Linked DNA regions of Sus scrofa. The protein of the gene in region 2 interacts with the protein of the main gene of each other region in a biochemical or structural test. Links are inferred from orthologs where the notes say so. Each region holds a gene or a part of one and is shown on either strand. Other genes may lie near its edges.

The links. The genes of interacting proteins can lie anywhere in the genome.
Region 1: the proteins of LRRK1 (region 2) and NUDT16L1 form a complex in vitro, tested with the Homo sapiens proteins (2 studies listed by BioGRID and IntAct, with this or other methods). The link is inferred for Sus scrofa from reciprocal best matches to the Homo sapiens genes LRRK1 and NUDT16L1.

The regions. Positions count from the first base shown.
Region 1 is NC_010445.4:37,691,842-37,695,952, forward strand, and holds the start of NUDT16L1 (protein syndesmos), read right to left. Parts: upstream 2,813-4,111; 5' UTR 636-2,812; coding exon 438-635; intron 363-437; coding exon 102-362; exon of another isoform or gene 32-101; intron 1-31. UniProt on the Homo sapiens protein: Key regulator of TP53BP1 required to stabilize TP53BP1 and regulate its recruitment to chromatin.
Region 2 is NC_010443.5:139,616,106-139,619,627, reverse strand, and holds part of LRRK1 (leucine-rich repeat serine/threonine-protein kinase 1), read right to left. Parts: intron 2,480-3,522; coding exon 2,363-2,479; intron 1,741-2,362; coding exon of another isoform or gene 1,735-1,740; exon of another isoform or gene 1,448-1,734; intron 1-1,447.

The DNA.
Region 1 (4,111 bases), on a different chromosome or scaffold from region 2:
CGGCCTGGGGACCCTCAGGGGGACGTGTTACCCATCGGTGCCTTCCGCGGGGCCAGAGCCAAACCCCGGGGCGGGGGGCGGGGCCCGGGCGGCGGCCCCACCTCCAGGCCGTGGTCGCGCGAGTGCACCGCGCTGATCTCCACGGCGTGCAGCTGCTCCAGCGTCAGCTGCCGCGCGTACAGGTGCGCCACGACGCGGTGCGGGCCCTCGGTCAGGTGTGAGCTTAAGTAGTCTGCCTCCGTGAGGCGCAGGCAGCCCAGGCCCAGGCCCAGCACCCGGTTCAGTCCGTCCTCCAATGACCAGAAGCGCCGGTCCACGAAGCCCCCGGGAAAGCCCAGCAGCCCGTCGAAACGCATCTGCATCTGCAAGGGAGCGTCAGGGTCACGGGCGCGAGTCCGAGTGGCGCCCGGTCCCCGCCCGCCTGCCCGCGTCCTCACCAGCACCGAGAAGCGCATAGGGATGCGGCCGAAGAGCTGCCCGGGGTTTGCAGCGTACAGCATGGCGTGGCACGAATGGCTCCAGCCCGGCCCAAGACGCATCGCCTCCACCCGGCTGATCTGCTTCAGCTCCGGGACTGCCACGGTCGACATCTTGGCACTACCCACCGCCGCCCAGACACCGCCCCTTAAGTGCATGCGCGGGCCCGCCCCGCCGCACCCAACCAATCCGCGGGAAGCCGCGCCCCTGGGCCCCGCTCCTCCGCCAATCGCTGACCCGCGCCGGGGCCGAGCCCATCGCGACGCTCAGAGGCGTCGTTGCGAAGCGGGAGGGGCGTGCGCAAAGGGGAAGGCGGTTCGCGCCCAGCTGTCACCCAACAGCCGCGCACCCCGAACCGGCACCGCCCACGATCCTAGAAAACCACAAGGCCCAAGATGCAACGCGACAACCGAGCCCGCACGAGCCGAGCGCAGATTCGGATTCGGGTTCCCAGACGCGCGGCGCCTGCGGGGTTGGGGCGCTACCTGCAGGCGGTGCAGCCTGTGGAGTCTGGACTCAAACTGCGCGTCTAGAAGAGGGCAGGGAAAGCCCTAGCAATTATACTGCCCTCCGCCTTCCCCCGCGCCTCTTCGGGAGCACAGCCGCGCCGGCTTCCCACCGTCAGCTCCAGGCCGGGTTGGCGCCTGTCCCTGGGCGTGCGGGCGCCCCCTGCCTGCCCCAGGGGGCTCAGCCGAGCCTTGCGGCCAGGAGGCACAATGCCAGCCCATGGTTCTGCTGCCGGTTAAACACAGCCTGGCAGAGTCCAGCTACCCCCCGAGTCCAGCCCAGCCCTGAACTGGGGGTGGGCGGTGAGGAACTCGGGGACTTCCTGAATCCAGCCTGCTGGGGCAGAAGTGATTTAGATTCCGGGCAGGGAGCTTCCCAGCGCAGCGCCCAAATACCCGTGTCAGGGGCCATATAGGCCAGGTACTCCCCCCTTTAGGAACCTGGGGCTCAGATGAACGGGACTTGCCTGAGGGCACCCAGCAGTTTGTGAGAGCCAGGATCCTACCCTCGAATTCCACCTCTCCTACCCAGTGTCCGCGCAGAAAACCGTGCAGCTTCTGGGGACGAGGGCCTGAGTCACTTACCAGCGTCTGTACCGGAGAAGGCAGGCACTACGGCTCCGGAGCATCAGAAACAGCAGCTGCGGCAGAGCAGCAGGCTCCCCCGGGTTCTGTGGTGCTACTCACTCCATCAGGTAGCCCAAGCTCCATTTTCCCCCCGCGTGGTCCTCTGCCAGGGTTGGGGCTGCCGCAGCAGGGAGGCAGCCGCAGCTGGCAGTGGGAGGCCAGACTCTAGGGAGACTAAAGGTGTTTGAAGGGAAGGACCCAGGCATTAATAAATAAAGGTGTTTGAAGGCTCGCCTCAGGCATTAATAAAGGAGGTGGGCCCGTGGTGGGAGACCCAGTGCAGCCAATGCAAAAACCTGTGTGACTGAAAGGCCTTTTCCACACCGAGACCGTGGCAGACCGGGGACCCCCGAGGTTGGCAGGCCTTCCCTGGGGCAGGGCCAGGCCAGCTAGGAAGGCTGGCTCCACCCTTGAGTGCCTGAGTCAGAGGGCACTGCTGGCTGGCCGTGGTTCGGGCAGTGCTGCAGTGGGCGTGCTGGGGCACCAGCCTCTCCCCATGCAGAGGCTGCTTGCTGGTCAGGGGAGCTCAGGCTGAGCAGAGGGCCCCAGCTGGGCTCCAGCGTCCTGGCAGCCAAACCTGCCCTCCAATCCATTTCCCCCGAGGACAGCTGGAGAAAGTCGCTCCCTTGCTTAGCAGCCTCCAATTGCTCCTAGGGCAAAACTGGGCCCCCACAAAGTGTCTGCACCCCACACCCCAGCTCTGACACTTCAGCCACTCCGTGGACACAGTAGACCCACTCCTGCCTTTGCACTTGCTGAGCCAGCTGCCTGGGGTGCTCTTCCAGGCCCAGCTCCTTGGCATCCTTTAGGGCTCAGCTGAAACGTATCACAGAAGCCCTCCCCAAACACAGGCTAAATCAGCACCACCTCGTTAGCCACCGACCCCCTTCCTAACTGTAATCACATGTGGTTAGACCTGAATCACTTGCGTAGCATCTCACTGACTAGAACGCAGGCTCCCAGGGGCCTGGCGCCTTCTGCTTTCTGCTGGCACAGCAGGCACTCAGTTCACGGCGGCAAGAGGAACTAGCGACGGCTACGGCCAAAGCAATTGCATAGCTGGAGGCCTGGGCTCTTCCACCTGCTCAGGAAACAGAGCCAAGTCCCAAGGGTCCCTCCCCTTTGCTCCAACCCGACAATCAGCATAATGCCGACCCCAAGAATAACAAGCAGCAGCACTCACGCCCTCCCGGAAGTCCTATGTCACATCACACATGAGGGAACAGTGGCTGCAGCCACAAGCAGGCACTTGCGCTGCTCTGAGTGTGTCAGAGCTGCCACTCAGCTGTCCTGCCTCCCGAGAAACAACCCAGTCCTGTGGAGCTGTGCATGGAGGGAAAAGCGAATAGGATATTGCTGCATGATTTTATTACTATAAATATACAGTAAAAACGAACAAAAACTAGCCAATCAGAGTACATCAAATGGTAGCACGTGTTAAGTCCAAGACAGGCCAGTCTGCACCCCGCCCTTCAGTTACTGGCCCCAAAACCAATGGTGAGAGGCGGGGGGTGTTGGCCAGTGAGAGGAGAGGGGTGAGGAGAGGGAGACGGTCATGTGCGTGTGTGGCATCTGTGCACCCACGAGCACACGGCGGGCAGGACGGGAGGCAGGGCGCCTGCAGTGTGGCCTCTGTTCATAGGCTCAACTGGAGAGAGAAGGAGGCGCCCATTCCGAGCACCCCACTCATCAGAGCCTCAGGCTGTGTGGTCGGCTGCCCAGCACCATCCTTCCCACCTGCTAGGAAAGCGCTGGCACGGGGAGTGCAGACCCGCCGCCGCCAGGCTAAGGTCCCACTGGGGCAGCTCTCATCCAGAGGCACCAGGGCCAAGCACGCTGTCTGCCTTTCTGTTGCCCGCAAGTTTGTCTTTAAGAGAAGGCGAGGTCACCTCACATGGGGCCCTCGTCCCCAGGGACATCCCGCCACAGGAGCCCCAGACGGGAACAAATCAAAGCAAATTCTCAGTGCCATCTACGGCAGAGGGAGCAGAGAAGCCACCAGCGCCTTCCAGAGCAGGTGATGGCGTGCCGCTCGCCGAGCAGAGCCCCGGCCCAGAGGGTCTGGTGCCGTGGGCAAAGCTGCCGCTGGGAAGGGCTCTCAGGCACCACACCGCCCATGCCCAGACCCAAACCTGGCCGAGCCTCGCCAAGCTGTGCAGGGGGAGGGCAGGGGCAGTCTCCTTCCCGGCCTGAGACTCAGACCCCACCTCCTCTCCTTCCAGGGGCCCCGCGCGTCCCCGTGAAGGCAGCACCTCACCGCCCAGGAACTCCTCTTCTCCAGCGTGTCCCTCAGTTCCCGGGCATCGGCCGCCACGGCTCGGGGGCTGGGTGAGGCTGCACACGGGTGCCCGGCCCCGGGGCATTGGGAAGGACCCAGAGCTCAGCGCCCGGGACAGAAAGCCACTGTCCTTCATCTTGTACCATTTACAAATACATGGACTGTAGAAAAAGGGTCGTCAGAGGGGACAGTCAACTGTGCTCTTCGGTCAAGGGTCACACAG
Region 2 (3,522 bases):
CCTCCCTGCCCTGAGCCAGAGTGAGAAGAAGGCCCTTGGCCCCTGAGGGAGGGGGCATGTGGCCTAGACCACAAGGCCAGACTTTGGTCAGCCTGGGCTTCTTGTAATGTCAGTTGCAGGGGGCAGGGGGTGGGGGACTGCCTTTTCGGTCACCAGGGCCTCCTTCAGAGGCAGGATGTGCGTCCTTCCCTCCCGTGAACTCTGTTCCTTAAGGTGACAGCAATTGTGGGTGCCCCATGGATCTGCTCTTAGTCTCCTGTTTGCTGTCCCCAGAAGGTGGGTGCCCCATGAGAGCAGGCCAAGGTCTGGTACCCACCACTGCCCCAATGCTGGTCTGCTATAGGGAAGGGCAAGGCCCCCTCCACCTCTGACTCTCCCTAGTTTTCTGCTCAAGTATTCATTCTTAAAGAAATTGCTTCCAACTCAGCTTTTCCGCGGAGGCGCGTCTTGGCCACTGTGCCACATTCCCCGTTTACATCTCTGAAATGCCTGTGGTTCAGCTGACACTGATGGGGGTCCTCGGGATGCCCTCACAACCCCATGAAGCATGTGCTCTTTTACGGCCACCAGAGGTCCCCACGCAGAGGCCAACATTGCAAAGACTGTGCTGAATGCTGGGCCCAGCCCAGGCATCCCTGGAGCATCTGTGTGGAGCTGGGGATGGAGAGCAGCCCAGACGCCTGGGTGGGGCTGGGGTGGGATGGGAAGAGTTTAGGAGAACAAAGCCAGAGTTGGGACCGAGCGGGGCCCCAGGCCCTGGGCCAGCGAGGGTGAGGACAGAAAGCCCCCTTGTTGGAGCTGGGAAGCTGGGCTGTCCCAGGTGATGAGTGAACCAGCCTCTAGCTCAACAGCAAGGTCAATGAGGCCTAAGAACGTTTATCCAAATCCATCTTCAGGTTTCGAGGAAAGAAAACAGCCAAAGCAAACAGGAGCAAGGCCTCTATCTGAGTCCCTGCTCTGGGCCCCAGCCAGGCAGTGAGCCCCACGTCCCGGCTGGGTGTGGACGTGCGCGTGCAAGAATGCAGGGGTCTGCTGTCCGAAGCCACGGGGCAGCACAGCCTCTGAGGGGCAGGCACCCTGGCAGGGAGGCTCCGCACAGAGCCAGCTTTATTCCCTCTGGTCTTGCGGGCGGGTGGCGGTGCCCTGGCTCGGGGCTCTGGGCAGCCCTGAGCTTAAATAACGCTTTGTGTCATGTCCTGCGCTCTGGTGCAGACGGGGTCCTGAGCTGCCCAGCCTCGCCCATGGGGCCACAGTCATAAATGGCTCAAGGTTGATTTCAAACTTTTTTTTAAAGAAATGAAACTGTAGAGGGGTGGAGAGGAGAGCACGTGTATTTCATGACCGTAAGGAAAGAGTAATAATGCTCATGTTCAACCAGTGCACCAGCCCAGAGCTTTGGGTACGTTATGCCCAGAGATCCTCCTCACAATCTTTTACGCCCATTTTGCAGGTGGGAAAACTGGCATTGGATGATGACACCCAGAGCTTTGGGTACGTTATGCCCAGAGATCCTCCTCACAATCTTTTACGCCCATTTTGCAGGTGGGAAAACTGGCATTGGATGATGACAGCCAACGTGTTTTAACAAAGCCACACCAACAAGGAGCTCTCGAGTGGAGAGTGTGCCTGCTGTAAAAACGGCACCTCAGGGCCCACAGAGGGGGTCCAGAGGCCTGGGGGGTTGGGGCGGAGCGTGGGGCAGCTTCTCAGAGTCCGGGTCACGGCCCTTGTTCTTCAGACCTGAATAGGAAGAGGTATGAGCCACTAGGTCAGTCCTAAAGGGAAAGGCCTGCTCAGAGTGCGGTGCTGGGAGGAGAGGAGTGAGAGGGGGTTGTGGAGGGGGGAGACCTGGCCGGCTCTGCAGGCTGGGTCTGAAAGCTGAGGATATGCATCTTCAGGGCCATATTGGACAAAGAGGGATGGAGGTCTGGGACTGATGGAGACTGGTCTGGGGAGGCAGAACCAGAGTGGGAGGGGAGCTAGGGGCCTGCCAGGGCCTGGTGACTCAGTGGCTGTGAGAAGTGCTGAGCTAGGCCCCTGCTCTCAGAAGGGGAAGGGCACACAAGCAACTGTCCCCTGACACCATCTGCACCAGAAAAGCATCTCACCATGAACTGGGGCTGTGGTTTCGTGTGCTGAAGGTAGGCTTTCCACCTAGCCCTTTGTTTTACTGGTCCTTAGGCTCTCAGAAACCCCAAAGGCACTGATGGTCCAGGTGTCCTGTCTCTGTGAGACTGACAGTGACCCAGGCTTGCTGCTCCAGGTGGGCATGGCCTTGCTGCCCTCCTCACCAACCCAAGGGAAGGGAAACTCAGATGCAGTGCCCCCACTTCCCCATGACCTCACCTCCCCGTGACCTCACCTTTTTTATAACAGGCACTGCCAGGAAGCAGGTGACGATGGCTGGGGTGTCCAAAGCCTGCTGGGGCATGTTCAACGGGCACATGCCCTTGAGGCTGTAGATGTAGATCTTCTGGTCCTATGGAGGCAGACAGCCAACATGAGCCGGACTGGACCTGGCCTGCCGTTTCCTAGGGGGCAAGTTCTGTCTTGGGAGTTCCTTTATGTCTTCGGAAGTAATGCTTATGGAGGCTTTCTGGTTGGCTGCTCTTTGTAGAAACTTTGAAGACTACCAAGTAATCTAGAGGAGATGCAATTGCCCATGATCCAACACCCCAAGAAAGCCACCTTTGGGACTTGGGCCCAGACTTTGAGTTTTCTGTGGATATTGGTGGGGGTCTGGTTCCCCACGACAGCAGAACGACGTTATCGTGCTGTCTGCACAGGTTTCTCCTCCTGGGACACTCCCTGCAGGCAGAAGCCCTGTCCTACCTGGTCTGGGAAGGAGTGATGTCTGTGCTCCTCTTTCTTCTTTTTTAGGGCCCCACCCGCAGCATATGGAGGTTCCCAGGCTAGGGGTCAAATCGGACCTACAGCTGCCGGCCTACACCAGAGCCACAGCAATGCCAGATCTGAGCCACATCTGCAACCTACACCACAGCTCACAGCAACGCCGGATCCTTAACCCACTGAGCAAGGCCGGGGATAGAACCTGCTCTTCTTCACTGTCTGTTGCTCGGGGCTACCAGACTTTGGTTCACCTTTTGCAGATGTTTATTCTGTTCAAGTTGTTCACGATATGAATTTTACTGGAATGAGCTTTTTTTTTTTTCTTTTTTTCCTTTTCTTTTTTGGCTGTGCCTGTGGCATACGGAAGTTCCTGAGCCAGGGATAGAATCCACACCACAGCTGTGACCCAAGCCACAACGGTGACAATGCCAGATACTTAACCCACTGTGCTACCAGGGAACTCCTGGAATGAGCATCCTCAAGCATCTGTCTGTCTGAGTCTGTATGTACGTGTGCGTGTCTTGTTTTTTTCCTTAGAACAGATTCTTAAAACTGAAATTCCTGAGGCTTACATAGTATGAATATTTTTAAGATTTCAGATGCATATTTGAACCAAACTTCCCATCTGCTATCTGGAAAGGGCTCCGCTAATTTATACCCCCCCCCCCAAGA